5 linked regions of the Ovis aries genome follow. The protein of the gene in region 4 purifies or fractionates together with the protein of the main gene of each other region. This does not show direct contact. Links are inferred from orthologs where the notes say so. Each region holds a gene or a part of one and is shown on either strand. Other genes may lie near its edges. The genes, in order: SRPK2, WWP2, NCBP3, CPSF6 and RBBP6.

Evidence for each region.
Region 1: the proteins of CPSF6 (region 4) and SRPK2 purify together in Homo sapiens (affinity purification with mass spectrometry; 3 studies listed by BioGRID and IntAct, with this or other methods). This does not show direct contact. The link is inferred for Ovis aries from reciprocal best matches to the Homo sapiens genes CPSF6 and SRPK2.
Region 2: the proteins of CPSF6 (region 4) and WWP2 purify together in Homo sapiens (affinity purification with mass spectrometry; 3 studies listed by BioGRID and IntAct, counting the BioPlex papers as one, with this or other methods). This does not show direct contact. The link is inferred for Ovis aries from reciprocal best matches to the Homo sapiens genes CPSF6 and WWP2.
Region 3: the proteins of CPSF6 (region 4) and NCBP3 purify together in Homo sapiens (co-immunoprecipitation; 3 studies listed by BioGRID and IntAct, with this or other methods). This does not show direct contact. The link is inferred for Ovis aries from reciprocal best matches to the Homo sapiens genes CPSF6 and NCBP3.
Region 5: the proteins of CPSF6 (region 4) and RBBP6 purify together in Homo sapiens (affinity purification with mass spectrometry; 3 studies listed by BioGRID and IntAct, with this or other methods). This does not show direct contact. The link is inferred for Ovis aries from reciprocal best matches to the Homo sapiens genes CPSF6 and RBBP6.

The regions. Positions count from the first base shown.
Region 1 is NC_056057.1:47,828,548-47,832,063, forward strand, and holds part of SRPK2 (SRSF protein kinase 2), read right to left. Parts: exon of another isoform or gene 536-3,516; coding exon 370-535; intron 1-369. UniProt on the Homo sapiens protein: Serine/arginine-rich protein-specific kinase which specifically phosphorylates its substrates at serine residues located in regions rich in arginine/serine dipeptides, known as RS domains and is involved in the phosphorylation of SR splicing factors and the regulation of splicing.
Region 2 is NC_056067.1:36,512,702-36,516,217, reverse strand, and holds part of WWP2 (NEDD4-like E3 ubiquitin-protein ligase WWP2), read right to left. Parts: intron 2,959-3,516; coding exon 2,877-2,958; intron 2,291-2,876; coding exon 2,162-2,290; intron 1,576-2,161; coding exon 1,500-1,575; intron 1,211-1,499; coding exon 1,139-1,210; intron 910-1,138; coding exon 821-909; intron 1-820. UniProt on the Homo sapiens protein: E3 ubiquitin-protein ligase which accepts ubiquitin from an E2 ubiquitin-conjugating enzyme in the form of a thioester and then directly transfers the ubiquitin to targeted substrates.
Region 3 is NC_056064.1:24,361,243-24,364,758, forward strand, and holds part of NCBP3 (nuclear cap-binding protein subunit 3), read right to left. Parts: intron 2,423-3,516; coding exon 2,317-2,422; intron 1-2,316. UniProt on the Homo sapiens protein: Associates with NCBP1/CBP80 to form an alternative cap-binding complex (CBC) which plays a key role in mRNA export. NCBP3 serves as adapter protein linking the capped RNAs (m7GpppG-capped RNA) to NCBP1/CBP80.
Region 4 is NC_056056.1:150,777,725-150,781,792, forward strand, and holds the start of CPSF6 (cleavage and polyadenylation specificity factor subunit 6), read right to left. Parts: upstream 2,807-4,068; 5' UTR 2,738-2,806; coding exon 2,678-2,737; intron 1-2,677. UniProt on the Homo sapiens protein: Component of the cleavage factor Im (CFIm) complex that functions as an activator of the pre-mRNA 3'-end cleavage and polyadenylation processing required for the maturation of pre-mRNA into functional mRNAs.
Region 5 is NC_056077.1:22,741,659-22,745,174, reverse strand, and holds part of RBBP6 (E3 ubiquitin-protein ligase RBBP6), read right to left. Parts: intron 431-3,516; coding exon 331-430; intron 1-330. UniProt on the Homo sapiens protein: E3 ubiquitin-protein ligase which promotes ubiquitination of YBX1, leading to its degradation by the proteasome.

The sequences.
Region 1 (3,516 bases), on a different chromosome or scaffold from region 4:
ATGTAACTATGCTCAATGGAGACAAGGAAGCATGCTGACGATTGTAGGTTGGCTACAGGAAACCTGTTACTATACACTCCTTTGTAGAGAAGTGGCCGACGCAGACAGAGTTCAAATGAAAATGAAGCAGCAGGTAAGAAGAATTCAGTGACCTTTTAAGGGAGGACAAAGCTAAGTAATTCAAATATTAAAGTACGACTTAACTGGGGCATCTTCCTTCTCAAGAAAAAGGTCTAATTATTACCAGTCATCGGGCTCTTATGCAAGTTCCTAACATGTACACGTTTAACTCAACTGCTTCCTATGAACAACTTTGCAGGCTCTCAATGCCCCTACACAGACTGACACAAAGCTGGCCCAGCCTCTCACCTGCAGACCCTGAAGGAGGAGGAGCGCCCGCTTTCTGCCACTCGGTGGCCTCGGCTGCCATTCTTCTCACATATGCATCGTCCACACACATCAAGATGTTTTCTGGCTTTATGTCAGTATGAATGATCTTGCACTTACTGTGGAGATAATCTAACCCCTGAAGGACCTGATCACATAAAATCAGGAAGGAGTTATTAATACTTCTATTATTCAACATTTATTTGTAAAATAGTTACAGTCATTACAAGGCACAATAGGAACTTGGGCCCGACAGGAACCCAGCTCCTTCCCATAAGCAACCAGTGTATATCATTCTGGAGATAATTTATGCTCATATAAGAAAATGCATTTAAACATATGCTTATTAAAATAACAACTTTGGTGAGATATAATTTACATGACACACAATTCACCCTTTTTTTTTCAATTCAACCTTTTAAGTGTACAATAGAATGGTTTTTAGATGTGCAACGGTCATCACTATATAATTTAGAACATGTTCATCACACAAAGACGAAACACTGCACCCATTAGCAGTCACTCCCCATCTCCTTCCAACTCCTCTAGCCCTAAGCAACCACTAATCTACTTTCCTGGCTTTGGACATTTTATGTAAGTGGAATGATACAGAGTGGTCTTTTGTACCTGGCCCAATACTTTCAAGGTTCATCCATGTGTAGCACATAGCAATACCTCATTTTTTTTAGATGCCAAATAATTTTCCACTGAAAATACATTTTGTTTAGTCATTCAATGATGAACATTTGAGTTCTTTCCATTTTATGGCTACTATAAATATATTGCTATAAACATTCATGTACAAGTTTCTATGTAGACATGTCTTTATTTTTCTTAGTAGCACAATTATTGGGTCATACTGTAACTCTATCTTTAGTCTTTCAATAAACTGCCAAGCTGTTTTATCCTATCTATGGCTGCATCATTTTACATTCCCATCAGCAATGTGCAAGGATTACAGTTTTTTCCGGATGATCAATACTTGTTATCTGTCTTTTCATTTTAGTCACTCTTGTGGGTGTGAAGTGTGTATCTCATTGATATGCATTCCCATAATGGCTAATGATGTCTGTACATTTCTAATATTGTAGGAAAGGAGAATTAGGTAGCTTTGGTACCCAGGCTATAAACTATATAGTACTGATTTAAAAGAAACTGCTAAACCAAGATACTCACATACTTACCATGTGTGTGTGTCTGTGTAAATATATATATAGCAAAAATTACAGAGTATGGTGACCTAAATGCCAGGCCAAAGTTTTTCTGGAATTATTTCCATAAGAGGGGAATTCTTTCTTTTCATAAGGAAAAAAAATATTTTAAAATACAGTTCATGTTCCCATATATTACAAATTCTACATGCTCAATAAACATTTGCATTTAATAAACATCTTCATTCAAACATTTTAAGTCATTTGGTGTCTTGATCACATTAGACAAGGAAGTGAGGAAAAGACAAGCAGAAGATATCTAATACTGAACAACTCGGAAAAGTTCTCAGCAAAAACCCAATGCTTCTGTCTACCTTCAGTTTCTGGCTAAACAATCTTGAAAGTAGAAGTCCCTCAGTCGTGTTCGACTCTTTGTGACCCCATGGACTATACAGTCCATGGAATTCTCCAGGCCAGAATACTGGAGTGGGTAGCCTTTCTCCAGGAGATCTTCCCAACCCAGGGATCCAACCCAGTTCTCCTGCTCTGCAGGCAGATTCTTTAGCAGCTGAGCCAATACCAGGGAAGCCCAAACAATCTTAAGATGACAAAACATTAGTAAGTGAAGGCACAGATTTCGCAAGGAAAGTAGAAGGAACATGAGTCTCTTAACCAAGATGAAAATCCTCATATTCATTTTAAAAACTTTTCCTTGGAAATACTTTCACATGACTTCACTGACTGAGCATCAGTTGAGCTCCTATAACAGGCTGCATATGCTTATAGATGTTTGATACACAGCAATAAACAAAGTTCCCCATCTCCACGAGGCTTTGACTTTACCTTAAAATTAATATTTAATGTTTTAGATAATACTTCAACTAGAATATGTTTAAATTATGTTTAAAATGTCCAAATACCAACAGTACGAAACATAGCATTATATGTTTCCATAGAGAATAAGGTTATAATTCTGAAGGGAACACAATTCAATGAGCCTGTATATATTCACTGGCATTCATGCATCTTCTTTGGGCAAACTGAAGTATCACATGGAGTTCTTATATATGAGTAGTAAGAGAAATTCTGAGAAGTACAAGAAATTAATGGACAAGTACACTGATGACTTCCCGTCTGTGGAAGTAAAAGGAATAAGACTTTTAGAAAGTTTAAACTATTTTTAATTATTTCAACTAAAATTTCACTTCAATCATCAAATATTAACTCAAAGTTAAAATGTCAGCATCTTTCCAAAAATATCTTTCACTACCATCTCATGAACAAGTTGTTCCTAACTTTCCACCTTAGTTCTTTCGTAGTTCTTAGGTTGTTTCACTGTGTGTGAAGCTGCTTAGGTAAGAGTTAATATGATCCAGTATCCAAATGTGTTAAAATGAATTTCAATGAAAATGAGACACTTGAGACAAGCAAAGTGTTCTCAGTAAGAATTTAAGGTTTCAGATATTTAATCCCTTTCATGGATCACTGCCTTGTTGTGGCGAAGGGGCTTGCATAACTCAATGAAGCTCTGAGCTATGCCATGCAGGGCCACCCAAGACAGACACATCATAGCAGAGAGTTCTGACAAAATGTGATCCACTAGAGGAGGGACTGGCAAACCACCCCAGTTATACCTGCCATGAGAACCTTCACAAACTATTAAAAAAGGTCAAAAAGATATGGCACCAAAAGATGAGTCCCCCAGGTCTAAGGTGTCCCATATGCGACTGGGGAAGAGTGGAGGAGAAGTACTAATAGAATGAATAAAGTGGCTGGGCTAAAGTGGATACAACGCTCGGTTGTGGATGTGTCTGGTTGTCAAAAGTAAAATCCGGTGCTGCAAAGAACAGTACTGCATAGGAACCTGGAATGTTAGGTCCATGAATCAAGGTGAGTTGTGAGTGATCAAGCAGGGGATGGTAAGAATAAACAATGACATCCTAGGAATCAGCAAACTAAAATGGACGGGAATGGACGA
Region 2 (3,516 bases), on a different chromosome or scaffold from region 4:
CATCCAAGGCAACATTTTGCCAGAGAATCTATTAACTTTTGTAGCAGCACTGGGGTGAGGGCAAGACAATGCTTTGAGTTCTTTTTAGGAGTATACCATTTGTTTTCATTTTACCGTCACTGTGTACATGACATGCAGCCAAGTATTTATCAAGACCCTCTGGATTGGGACACAATGTATATATGCCAGATCTACACCAAGACCCCCAACTGAGCCCACCCCAGCTGCCTCAAGAGGAAGTGAAGTCCAGGGTCGATTCCAACGGACAACCACTTAATACCGATATCTAACCACTGCCCACTGGTGCAACTAGATGGGTAAAATAAAGAAATAATGACAGGTTGGTTGGCAAAGAACTATTGTTCTCAACAAGGGCCTACTATACAGCACATGGAACTCTGTTCAAATGGTATGTGGCAGCCTGGATGGGAGGTGGGCGTTTGGGGGGAAATGGATACACGTACATGGACGGCTGAGTCCCTTTACTGTTCACCTAAAACTATCACGACAGTTTGTTAATTGACTATACCCCAATACAAAATTAAAAAAATTTTTAAAAGAGCCATCATCCTGAACCGCTCCCCTAGAAACCAACCCCCAGCTTCCCCTTGACCCAGCAATTAGAGGGTTGATGCCTAGCCCAGAAGGGGACCCCAGGAACCAGTTCCAGCACCCCTTTGGACCACCCACACCCCTGCCCACTCCTGAAGGTAAAGGAGAGCTTTGGCAACTGTCTGAGCAAGGAGGCAGCTTCCTGGCCGAGTGCCCTGCAGCTTGGTGAAGCAGGGAGCAGCACGGCCTTTTGGGGCTCCCAGCTCACCTGGCGATGCCCCCGTAGTCCAGGCCCTCCTCGCCACGCATGATGATGTAGAGCCGGCGGCGCAGGTCGTAGGGTTTCATGTTCATGATCTGGGGAGACAGAAGGTCATGGCCAGCCTGCCATTCTCCCTTCCATGGCAGGCTGGGGGCAGGCGACCAGGGACTCCCAGGCCTGCTCTTCGGCTGATTCCCCATAACCAAGGCCCACGTCTTGAAAACCGTATCATGTGGGCTTAAAGGGCCACACAAGAGAAGACAGGGTGGTAGCAGCGGGCCTTCTCCCTGCCCTGGGTCTTAGACTCAGTGATTATTCTCTAACCTGTTGGAAAGAATCCTCAAAAAGTGTCTGCCTGGAAACACTGATCTTCACGTGGCTGGGGAGAGCATTTGACTGAAAAGAAAAGGAAAACAGAGACCTCAAATTGGGGCGTTGGTGGTAACTATTCAATCTGATCACTTGTCTGTTGAATAAGCTTCCCCTACCCTCCACCCCCAGGTTAGGTGGGGAGAACTTGGTCCCCTAGGAATGGAAGACAGTGTCACACAACTGCTCAGAGTGAGACAAGTGACCTGCTCCCACCTAAGACACAGGTGTTCCAACACCTGCAACTAGGCTAGGAAACTGCTGAAATGACTCTGTAACCCCAATCTCCAGGGGGAGCCCCAGTACCAGAACTCACATGGCAGAGGAAACGGAATTGGTGATACTTCCACCGAAAACTTCGGTCGTAGGCGCCAGGGGAACCTTGTTTTGTCCTGGGAAGAGCAAAGATGTTCTGGAATTCACGAGATTTCTCAAAACTTGGCAACATATTAGCCCTAAGGAAAGCTACTGCTCTGTTAATTTAGAGACGAGTAAAGTAAAGCATAAAAGAAAGGAAGGGTCCACCACTGAGATCTTCTGCAGACTTGAAGGTTAAAAAGAAAATCTAGAAAAGCCAGACCTCTTGATTTTAGGGAAAGACCACCAGTGTTAGTCTGAATAGAGAAGCCCCTTCCCTCCCCATCCCCACTGGCGTGGCATCAAAACTGGCCACTAGAGGGTGGGAAGAGCAGCTATACTAGGCCTAAGCTAACAGTGATGTCACCTGCACAGTCCTCAGTGCTGGTGCTCAGGCGCTCAGTCTTGTCCAACTCTTTGTGACCCCATGGACTGTAGTCCGCCAGGCTCCTCTGTCCATGGGATTTTACAGGCAAGAATACTGGAGTGGGTTGCCATTTCCTTCTCCAGGGGATCTTCCTGACCCAGGGATTGAACCCATGTCTCTTTCATCTCCTACGCTGGTAGACGGATTCTTTACCACTAGCACCACCTGGCAAGCCCTAAGTGCAAAGTCCTTACCCTGACTCAAACCCCGGGCGAGGATCCTTAAAGGTGGTGGTGCGGGTATTGTGGTCCACGAAGTAGCGCACCCCCTCGCTGGTGTACTTCATCTCCCACCCTGGGGGCAGAGCCGGCTCCTGGATCATCCTGGAAACATGGGAAGAGAGGGGCTGCAGGACCTCATATGGGCTTCCATGCTAAGGGGGCTGGGGTCCCCAGAAGGCTGGGGCTGCCTTCTCTCTGCTTTTACCCAGGCCCCGCAGAGGCCTCAAGGAAAGGTACTTGGCAATACCCAAGGTCTGCAGCGGAGACAGATCATTACTGTCCCAAGGCCCAAAGAATCCCCGCCCTGGGTGGATGGCCGTGGCCTCAGTGGCCACCAGCAATCCCAAGACATCAAGTGCCCCATCCCAGATTAGCTTCTGGGGGGGTGGGTAGTAGAGGAGTGTCGGGGTCGGGGGGAGTTCTCACATAACCCTTCTGAAATCACTTCATCAGCAGCTTGTACACCAGAGACCAGCAACACCGGCCAGTCAGGCCACGCTGCAGCCATGAGGAAGGCCAACATAAGGTGCCGCTTTCAAGCTCTCATTATATCGTGAGGGTCTGAGGGCACTTGTGTGTGCTTAAAGGTCCCAGAACATCAGCCACAGAGGCCAAATATAGTGCGAGGCCACCAGGCCAATGGAGGTGCACGGGGCCCACCCAGAGCCCTCCCGGCCTAAGTCCTCACCCCTGGGTGCGAGGGTCTTCCCACTGGGTTGTGCGTGTGTTGTGGTTCACGTAATACACCCGTCCGTTGTCCTGTCTCTTCTCTGCCGGGGAGGAGAAAGAAAAGTGGACGCTCAGATTGAGACACGTTGAGCCCACGTCCTCTCCCCTCTGGCTCCCACCTCCTGGGTGCTAGGTCTGCGTCTCTGCCTCTGTCCCCACCCTGTTAGAGAAGTTTAACCAGCTCAAGCCTGACTCACTCATGTCTGTCACTGGCGAAGAAAAGGACAAAGAGAATCTTTCCCTACTGGGGAGCAGGGGAGGGGTATACACGCTTTCAACTCAAGATGAAGCACCGTCTTCGGTCAGTCGGTTGGTTGGCTTGCTGGAGGGAAGGGGGCAGTGTGGCAACACAGAGCGGGAGCAGGCCAGCTGAAACCAGAGGCGTAATTGCATCCAGCTGTGTGCAAAGTGGAGCCACAGCCCAGCCTCCCTCGACCCTGGTGCCCACCCCAGACCATCACGGCTACTCTCTGGTTCTTCATTCACTGGATGCAGCTGACCTAGGCATCCCTGTCTCACAGGCAGGGTCACTGGGGGCGCGGTGGGGAGGCTGCCTTTTCCCTCATACCTCTCTGCTCAGCACCACCAGGCCTCTGTAC
Region 3 (3,516 bases), on a different chromosome or scaffold from region 4:
GTGACTGCCACGTGGGGAGCACTTATAGAATGGTATATTTCATCACTGTTGATGTTAATAAGAAGAAATAACCCGGTACCTTACTGTGGCTGCAGGAATCGAGATGTTTATTCCAATGTCCCCATTCTCACAAGAGGCTGGGCCACTTAAATGGCTGTCTGGAAGATGGAGAATGCCAGATAATAATAATAACTAACATTTACTATGTGCCAGGCACCACTCTAGGAATCCTAACATTTTGTTAGAACCTCCCAACAACCCTGTAAGAACTAAGTTAACCTGACTTTCCAGATGAAGATACTGAGGTTCTTAGAGGCTAAATAACTTGCCTAAGATCACAGTTAGAAGGTGACAAGTCAAGATTTGAATATAGACAGTCAGGCTTCAGAATCCACGCTCTTAGGGTACAGTTAACCCCGACTGTACAACAGAATTACCAGGGGAGATGAAAAAATAGTAACTCTGAGATTTATCCAAACCTACCCCCTACTCTAAATCGATCTGTGAAAGGCAGCAGGGTTATCTGGAGTTCAAGAACACAGTCTGAAGCCATGCTGCCTTCTGGGCCAAAAACAGGTTGTAATGAGCCACTGATAGTTTAGGGAGATCTACGGTCTTTTATGAGTATCTTCAGAATCATGAGATCAAGACTGTTTTTCAAAAAGCATTTTTTTTTTAATTAAAATTTAACCCCAAAAGAAGAGGTCCTATTCAGGAGGGTATCATATTCCCATTTTATGAACAAAGAAAATGAAACCTAAAAAGGTTCACTAACTCCCCCACATTCACTAAGGAACTGAGACTGGATCCCAGGAGGGCTCCGGGCTCAGAAGAGCCCCAGCACAGGTGGGAAGAGAGACTGACGAGGGTAATTAGGGATGCTGCAGAGGGCGTGACATCTGAACCAGACAAAGTGTGGGACAAGGAAAGACGAATCAGCAGGGTGACAGGCATGAACGAGATCAGAGGCAAGATGCCACATGGAACGCGCCCAGGACTAGAAGTAAACAGGCGCGGTGTGAAACCACAGTGCGTCCAAGGTGGGGCTGTGGGAGAGGCCTCAGACGTCTGTGTGGGTCCAGTGTGCGGGCACACGAACGACCAGCTGCACAGCTGGCCCTGGCCTTCACAGGACTTTTCCTGAAACAGACAACCACTCGAGCAGATGCCTGGAAACCTAGCCTGCGAGGCAAGCAAGGTCATGTTTCCAAATTGAACACGATGCAGAATAAAAACAGTGAAGTAGCATCCAGAGTTGAGCTACTCTGACCACTGGGAAGGACTGAGGCGGCCTGGGTCTCTGCTATCATGTCATACATTGTAAGGCAACAGAGCAAACAGTTAAAAGCAAGGCTTTAGGGTCAGATAAATCTGAGTTCTAATCCTGACTCCACTTTTACTAGTTGTGTAAACCTGCGCATTTATTTAATTTCTTTGAGCCTGTTTCCTTCTTTGTAAACTAGGGATAAAAATATATTCCTCGTGGGGTTGTTGTGAGAAATGAGTACGAAACAAATATGTAATGTGCTAACACAGCGCCTCATAAGAGAGCAAGTTCCCGACAAATAGTAGCTACTCTTCCATTCATTCAACATGTTTTTATCAAATAGGCAAACCTAGAGAAACTCATACAGCAGAGCACAGACCTTTAACGTGCCTTCAGATGGCTGCCTATTAAAGCCCTTCGCCAAGTCTCCAATTTGCAAATACAACAAAGGCAGATCATTTGCATTTACGGGATAATAAACATGGCTGTGAACTCACGAAAAGGGAAGCAATAATTTTCCCTTCTATTTATAAACTGTCTTCAAAATCTGGGGTAGGTTATCATATTTAAGAATTCAGGGTGAGTTTCAGGAAGCAAAATACTTAACCTTAATAAAACACAAAAATAAAGTAAAATCACAAACCTGGATCAACAGAAGTATTAACGGTATCCCTCACCAATCTGACTCCTCTAAAAGAGTCTCACTGCGATACACTCCTGCTACATTTAAAGGCAAAGAAAAGTGAACACTTCTACAATAAAGCAGAAAATGAGTAAGAGTCCCACAGAGCCACAGTTCTAATCGCCGATCTGCCACCAACTCCATGAGGTTCTCTGGGGCTCCTTAGACAGTATCCTGAAGTTCTGACACAGCCAAATGAATACACACACACACACACATACACAAAACACTGAGACACAGCTAACGCAGCTCATCGCTAACAGGCCACCTCAGAAGCGGCGAATTCACAAGTTCCACGTGAGGTGAGGCCAGAAGCACAAGGCCGTGGCAAGGAAACTGCGGAAAACTCCCCCCAAACACCCTGTACCTTTCTTCATCATGTCTCGGTCCAAGGCTACATTTCTTTGGGCAAGATTTACTTCTGATCGAAAATGGAAGCGCTTGGCTCGCTGCTCCTTCTTTTCAATCGCTTCCTAGAAGGTGCAGAAAAAAAGCCAAAGAAGTGAAATGTGGAGGAGAGTTAAATCACAAACATCACGTGATACACTGGCTTGACAAGCAACTCAGAAGGTATGAACAACACTGTGCCTTGCCTCATTGTTGCAATGAACAGGGTATTGGCAATGGCTGGCAGAGTGGGCGCTAGCAGTGCTGCAATCTGTCATCATCTCGAGGACGACTCAGTGCCTATCAATGTATCTGTGCAGAAACCGGGGCACAAAAAAGCTAAAATGTTTGCCAGGGGCACTTCAGCTGGTAAGGGGCAGATCTTCTCAGCGCTATTTCTAGAAGCCCCACCACCGCCCCCATTTCACATCGTCTGTGTGCATGGTAATCACACCTATCACGTTATGTCTGCCTGAGCAGTCCACTCCCTAAAGCTTTTTTTGTGTTTAAAAATAACACTGAAGCCAAGAAACTCTCTCCTCTATTCTAAACTTGTGTCCACAGAATTGCCAGTTTTCATCTTGAAGTGAAAAGAAGCACTGATGCTTTCTGAAAAACCAAATAATCAGCTTCCTAATTTTTTTTTTCCCCAAGAGCTAAAATATACCCAGGTCCAACTGTGGGTTTCTGATAGCTCTTTGGAACCTTCACTAATTGTATATTGACTTTGCCACACTAATTGAAGGTCTGACTATAGAAAGCTTCTGGGGATTGGTAAGGCAGCAACACTTCTGTTATTTCCCAATAGTTATGTTAATTTTCTCCACTGAAGTCTTCCCACTGGAAACAACTAGTTTACCTTCCTTTGGTAAGAACCAAAGTACCAATTCTTGGCTACCACCCTTTCCACTATATATTTGTTTCAAATAATGGTAAATTGTGTAGGCTTAAGAACAGGACTGCATACTGCTTTTTCAGTTTCAGTAAGAAAACACCTTCACTTCATTCTATTTTCCTGTCAAAAAAGATGATCAGTTCTTTCTTTTTGCCTTTAAGCAATCTGAGACAGATTGAGACCCAGATAAAACACAAAAAAATAAGCATGACATACTTATTTTTATTTTTGCTTTCATACATCCAATATAGTAACACCGTTTTATTTATTCAGAGTTTTAATTCA
Region 4 (4,068 bases):
CTCCAAATTAAAGTTTTTAAAACAATTGAATGTCTCACTTTTTGAAACAGGTTTACACTGCTCTTTACCAAAGTACATACATGAAATAGACATCATACAAGTATAACTGTTTAAAACAGAAAAAATAAAAAACACATATATTACAAAGAACTTCAAAGTATACAATGCAATTAAAACTACAGCTCACATTGAAGACTTTTTAAATGTTTACAGCAGTTTAGAAGCCGAAATAAAACCCGTTATACTTAGCAAGACATTTTACTCAGCTACAACAAAATAAAGTCAGTTTAGCAACCAACAGAAGTAATGTCACCAGCTAATAAGAATGCAAATTAAATCAACAATTTTGTAGTTGCTTCTAACTCTGATAAAATTTCAGGTACATATTTCAATACTAGTAACATTTTAAAAAATTAAGAATGAACCTTAAAAAACCATCAACTACCCTTTTATGGCTATATTGTGAACAGCAATTATCACAGCAAGCAGTAGATTACAAAGGCCAGTGATACACAAAATAACAACAAAAACAAAGCCTCTATTTAATGCCATTAATTGATTAGAAAGTATGAAGATCCTAGAGGCAAAAACCATTCAAATACATGTGCAATATAAATGCTATAGGTAAAATCCACAAAATGTTATTTTTAAAAGAACCCTATTAAGCAGTTCATCAGGGCTACCAAATTTTAATCTCTTCTTACCTCCTGTTCGGTCAGCACTAGCTGGTGCACAGGGATAAGCAAGTATCACTCCATCCAGCTACACAGATGACAAAAATGCCCATCCCAAATGAAGTATGCAAAAGCCTAAAAAGTATCTCATTAAAAGGTTGTGAACAATGCTCAACTTCTAAAATTGTAGTCCAGCACTCCTTTACTGTAACTAGAAAGACAAAAGGAAATATATTTTCTTGGAAGAGGGCTAATGAAGACTCCCTTGAACATTTGTTTTTTTACTTGCAGATATGGACCTCCTGTCGATGGAATGTTACACTCATTTGATAAATAAAAGGAAAAGAAATTTCCCAGAGGTCTTTGTTTACTGACCTTAAAAAAAGCATTAGAACCCGACTGTGTTTAGCACTCGAGGTAACTTTCTAAATTGTCACTGATACAACTCAGGCATAGTAAAAAAAAAAAAGAAAAAAAACCTTAAGCGCAACACAATGAAGATTTTAAAACTTAACATTTGATAACAATGAGTTACGTTTAAATATACTCTTTTTTTAATGGGGTAGAAAACATTTAAAGCTAATTGAACTTTTCTTCTAATTTTAAACTTAAGGGCACCATCATCCCTCAAAACAAAAAAAAAAGGATTTCTAGTTTTCCCTATTTAAAAAAATCCTTAACTCCTAGCACAAATAAAATCCTTAAAGGAGGGGAAAAAACCCACAAAAACACAGTAACCAGAATTTTACTAAGCTTACATGGACCTGGAAAATGTAAGAAAGCTATTAGGAACACTGCAGTTAAACACAATTTGCTTTTTTTAAATGTGTTACTATATAAAAGACAGCAGATGTGACCAGAATGCTTACAGCTTAAACGTCACTGCTCTAGTAACAACCTTTTGCAAGGATGCACAACATCAGACATCATAGCTCCACGGATAGTCCTTCTAGGCAACTGTGGCCTGTGAGATACCGGAAAAACCTTGCATTCTCACTTTCTCCAGCCTTTCCAAACCCCTCGGAGAACAGTCAACATTTTGCTTTCGGAAATCGGGAAACAGCTATAAAACTAACAAACACCATGTGGATTTCGGGTGAGATTCTTTAATCATTACTCTGATCTCTTCTCTTGGTGAGCTACCATCTTTTTTGTTCCATCCAACCCTCGCGCTTCCAAGTCTTCCTTTTGGCCCGGGCCACCTATCTTCACTGGTATTTTCATCACAAAGACCGAGAACGACTGGGCCTCAGAGGCACTGCAAGCCCTCGAACACCGAGGTAGGGCCAGTGCACCGACTTTTTAAACACGATCCATGGGTCCGAAAGTCAAAGGACTTGTTGCAAACGTGCCCGCACCGAAGCCGTCTTCCCAAAGAGTGAGAGAAGGAAAAGGATGGCGCCACGCCGAAACCTGTCGCAAACGCGGGCAGGGGAGCTCAGGAAGCTGGGCGCGCGGGATACAAAGGGCCGTGAACACGGCCTTCCATGAGGCGACCCAGTGACGACAGAGACACAAAATGGAGCGACCGAAGGAATCGGAGCCCGAGCGGCAGGGCCGGGGGCAAGGTGAAGGCCGGCGCGCGCCCCGCCGGGCTTCCTCCTCGACCTAGCCGCGGGGGAGGGAGCGCAGGGGCGGCCCGTCCTCCCCGCCGCGCACACGCCGCCCCGCCGCCCGGGCCTAGCGAGGCGGGAAGCGCCCGCCGGCCTCCGCCAACAATGGGGAGCGAGGCGGCGGCGAGGGAGGAGCCGGCAGCGGCTGCACAGTGGCCGGCGTCCGCGCTCGGATCCCCGCGGAGGGTGGCGGCGCCCGCCGCCCACGAAACGACGCGGTAGAACGAGCGGCGAGGCGGGCGCTGCGCCGGGATCGGGCGGCGCGGCCCACTGGCGCCAAGGGCGCACGGTCTGCAGCCGCGCCGGCTCGTGGCCCGCAGCGGGCCCGAGGTCCGCGTCCCGGCCGCAGCGCCGCCCACCTCGGCGGCGTGAGCCCGGGCCCACACGTACCTGGTTGAACTCTTCGCCCACATCCGCGTAAATGTCTATATGGTCCACACCGTCCGCCATCTTCCCTCGGCCTCGGCCGCCGCCGCCGCCTCTTGCAGGTCCGCCCGCCGCGGCAGCAGCAGCGGATCTAGCGGCGGGGGCGGGGCGCGCTGCGTCACTTCCGAGGCCCGAGGGCCGAGGCGGGGGCAGCCGGGGGCGCGGGTCTCCGCCACCGCCTGCTTAGCTGGCGAAGAAGGGAAACTGCGTCTCCGAAGGCGCCGGCGGTTTCTTTTGTGTGTCTGGATTAGGCTTGGGGGGCGGGGCGGGGGTGGTCCCAGTTGTCTCCAGACAGTTTCCACGTTGTCTTTGGCACTCTTAAGCATTTTGTGATATTTTCATTTCTCAGTTTTTCTTACTTTTCTCACAGCCAGGGCTTTTAGGGAGGTGGAAGTTTTATGTCTAGATGAAACACCAAAAGTGTAGCCCGGCTTTCCATGAGCGCCTCCAGAGGATGTCTTACCTCTGCATCCTCAAAAGACCAGCAGAATTTCGTCTGCCTTGTAAATACTAGTTACCGGTTGATGGTTTTCTTGAGTTATTTGCATGCTACTTATGTCATTTGCATACCGTTTATCTTTCCATCTGTATCTTCTGCATCGTCTTCTTTCATCTCCTCCCCCGCCCCCTTTTCATCGCCCGTCATTTTTAACCTCCTTTGAGCTGCAGTTGGTTGTTCCTGGGATAGTTTAAATGTCTCAAACTTGAATGCGGTCCCCGTTGGGCCCACCCTATAAAGTGGAGGTATCTTCAGACGAGGAAACTCCTCTCTTAGACTCATAGAATGTCAGAGAAGGAGGGGAACTAGAAAAGATGACTTTAGGTCCAAACATCTCATTTTACAGATGATAAAAGGAACTGAGGCCTAAAGAATCTTAAGTGGCTTAATAGGAGTCACGTGGTTAATAAAAAAGCGTTTGCCAGTCAACTGCAGTCCAAAAATGTTAAATGGAAAATTCCAGAAATAGTTCCTAAGTTTTAAGTAGCTATAGTTCTGAGTAGCATCCAAGAAATCTTTAGCCATCCTACAACAACCATCCCTGGAAATGAATCATCTTTTTGTCTAGCACCTTTTATACACTACCTGTTAGTCCAGAAAAAAGATATGGTATATTTAGGTTTGGGTACTACTGCAGTGTCAGGCATCCACTAGGGGTCTTGGAGCATATCCCTTCTGGGGTTCTTTACCACTAGCCACCTGGGAAGCCCCAAGTGGGGACTACTTCACTTTAATTCAAAGGTGTCTCTCCAGTTTGAAACCTCTTCCTATTCTTTCTCATCCTTTTAAAACCCCACCAAGTTAGTGTGTGTTTATAAGATACACCCTGCCCAGAAATTACTGATACAATGGTAAG
Region 5 (3,516 bases), on a different chromosome or scaffold from region 4:
CAAGACACTTACATTCTTGTAGTGAAAAAATGGTAGGAGGGGAAAGTACCCAGGTAATAAAAACCAACAAAGGGCAAAGATTTACTTATTTGAAGATCATTTGCTTTTTGTTAATATTACCTACATAGATCAAAAAGTCTACTGTTACTTCTGACTACAGTTTAACTGGGGAAAGAAATCAGGAAAACAAACATTCTCATAATTTTAAGGATTAAGAAGACATACTCACTAGCACAAAGTAATGAGTTCAGTTCTAAAGTATATCTTTTCCTCTCACAAAGTAAAAAGTATTTTGAGAACTTGCAAATGTGGGATTTAATAAATACTTACATAACATATGTCTTGCTTGTAGATTTAACACCTCCAATAGGAATTCTTCTAACAATTACAGATGAATTTTTAGGAATTAGAGCATTATCATCAGTATATTCTGTAAATAAAAGGATAAAGAGTTGAATTTCTATTTAGAGATTTGGGTAAGTCATAGTCCTCAAGAATTAGAAAACTTCAACCAGACATAAATTTTATGGGAAATCATCTTAAATATAAAAGAACATTAATAACCACATGTTCCTTGCATCGAGATTACTGATACTGTCAGAACAAATGTCCAAAGCCATAAGGAGTTAACACCAAATATGTCAACAGGTTCTTGGCTCTGGCACCTCTACCAGAGATGGAGGTTGAACCCCAAGTCTCAGGAAGACTAAGTTGTTCTCTATTTAGCCAGTAATGCTGAACATCTGAAGTATATGAGGAAAAAGTTGTCATTTAGAATAAATATTTTCTCTCTCCTGGTGGCTCAGACTGTAAAGCGTCTGCCTATAATGCGGGAGAGACCTGGGTTCAATCCCTGCGTTGGGAAGATGATCTGGAGAAGGAAATGGCAACCCACTTCAGTGTTCTTGCCTGGAAAATTCCATAGATAGAGGAGCCTGGTAGGCTACAGTCCATGGGGTCGCAAAGAGTTGGACATGACTGAGCGACTTCCCTTCACTTTTCCTGGGCTGTACACCAGTATTACTGGGGAAGACAGACTAAAAAGTATGACACATTTTGAATACTTTGTAAGCAAAGAAAAAAGGGCTTTGTAATAAAGAATTCAAAGTGGGATGCAACTTTGGATAGAAAGCTGATTCAAGGAAAGCCCCTCGGAGGAAGTGACATCTGAGACTTAGAGAAGACTGAGAAGACAAGATGTGCAAAAACACCGACAAAGAATGTTTCAGACAGAGAAACGTGGAAAAAATGACACCGCAAGGCCAGAAGAGCTGATGAGAAGGACAGAATGACTAGAAACACAGGCACAGGTTACATATATTTATATTGTTTCTAAGTACAACAGGAAGTCAATGAAGGATTTTAAATAAATATGATGACAATTTGATTCATATTAAAAACATATTAAAAACTCTGGTATCTAAGTGAAGAATGAATCTGTATAGGAACAAGAACAGAAACAGGGTGATTAAGGAGGAGACTGCTGCGTAGGCTCAGGTAAGAGAGAATAATGATCTGCTCCGGAAGTGACAGAGAAATCAAGAGAATGTTTTAAGGCTTTCCAACAGAAATTAGGCATGAATTCCTGGGTTCCTGGCTTAAGCAACTGGACGAACACAGATGCTACTTTCTGAGCAGACAGACAGGAAGAATTATCCTATTCTTGGGAATATTACTTGCAATAGTTCTCTAAGAATGAAATGCAAACAAAAAATCAATCAATGAATTCAACGATGGTTTAAAAATAAATTTGCTATGAGAGGAATTTGCAAAATTACCAAAAATAATCCACTACAGGGGGATATATGTAAAAATATAACCATCTCTCTTAATCACACAATCAAGTATTAGGGTTCACTCTTTTTAAATTACTGAGTTTACCTGACTCACTTAAGTTACTTAGCACCAAGTGCTCTAATTATTAATATTAAGCTTATCAACCTCTGTTCTAATTATTTTAAGTTAATCAAATATGTAGTAAGCATTTTAAGCTTTTATAGATATACTGGCTGTATCCTTTCTAATCACATTATCATAAATTGGGTTTCCCAGGTGGCACAGTGGTAAGAGATGAGTAAGAGACGCAAGTTCAATACCTGGATTGGGGAGATCCCCTCGAAGACGAAATGGCAACCTAACCGGTATTCTTGCCTAGAAAATTCCACAGACAGAGGGGTGGAGGGCTACAGTCTACAGGGTCATAAAGAGCTGGACATGATTGAGTGCACATACACATAAATTGTTCAGGGAAGGGTTCTTTTTGATATATGTATTTCAAGTAGTAAGCTTTATCTTCGTAAGCATCCAATTTGAGTGAGACAATTTTCTAGTGTAAGACTACCATCATTATCTTTTGCATAGTTCAGGATAGTTCCAAATTCCAAGCAAGCACTAGGAAAGAAAAACCCAGAAGCATGGGCGATGAGGAATCTTTAGAAAAAAAAAAAACAACTCTAAAACTTTATGTCAAATACCAGACAATTAAGTTGCTGACTATGTAACAACTGTCAAAAGAGTTCACTGTAGGAACAAACAGCAACTGTGTTCAGGAGCTTTCCAAGACAACTTTATTCACCTCATCAACACAGTGCTGTCAAGCTTAAAGTCTGGCTCTGACGCCACATGCTAAATGACCTTTTAAAGTATCTGAATTACACTGATGATTCCCTACCTTTAAGATACCTCAATAAGTAACCTGTTAGCTTCAAAAGATCCTCTCTATTTGACACTTCCATTTTTGATCCAAAAACATGAAGAATACGGATGAAATGAAAAGACGAATTTAAGAAATGGAGAAATAGTCTTTTGAAAATCCTTTTTCCTCAGCTTCCAAATCTTTTTTACCCTAAGTTCAGAATAAAGGCTGTTTTGTTGTGTGTGTGTGCTTTTTTTGGGGGGTGGGGGGCGGATAATTGCAAATAAGCAGAAAACTTAGAAAAACAAGTTTATATAGGAAAAACACAAAAACATAATTTGAGATTCATTTTGAAATGTAGTCTAGAAACAAAGAAGCAGAACTCTTAAATCTGAAACATGAAATTCTGATTCAAGCATTTCAGTCTAAGATTTAAGAGTCCTAAACATGGACAGACTTCCAAAACTGTCTGGAATCTTTTATAGAAACATGATAGAAACATTAATTCAAACAAACTAAAGCGATCCAGTTTGCCATTCTTTCCTAGGCAATCTCCTAACTATGAAGCTATAAATATTTATTCTGTCCTCTTTAATTCACTGGATGGTGCTAAAAGCAAGTGGCATTCTTACTCAGCTGCCTTGTGACACTGATACTACTTGCCATAAAATTCATTAAGTGCCTAAATATCTTTTTCTCTCCTAATTTGAGGACAGCATAAGATGCATACTTTCTCTTCTCTTAACCAAGCCAATAGCAAAGCTTACTACAGCAAAGCTTTCTCCAATAATGACAGTTCACAAATAAACAGAAAACACAGGGCTGGGCAAAGCACTTTCCTGCTTTCAGCATTTGTAAAAATAAGGTATTAAATAATTTCC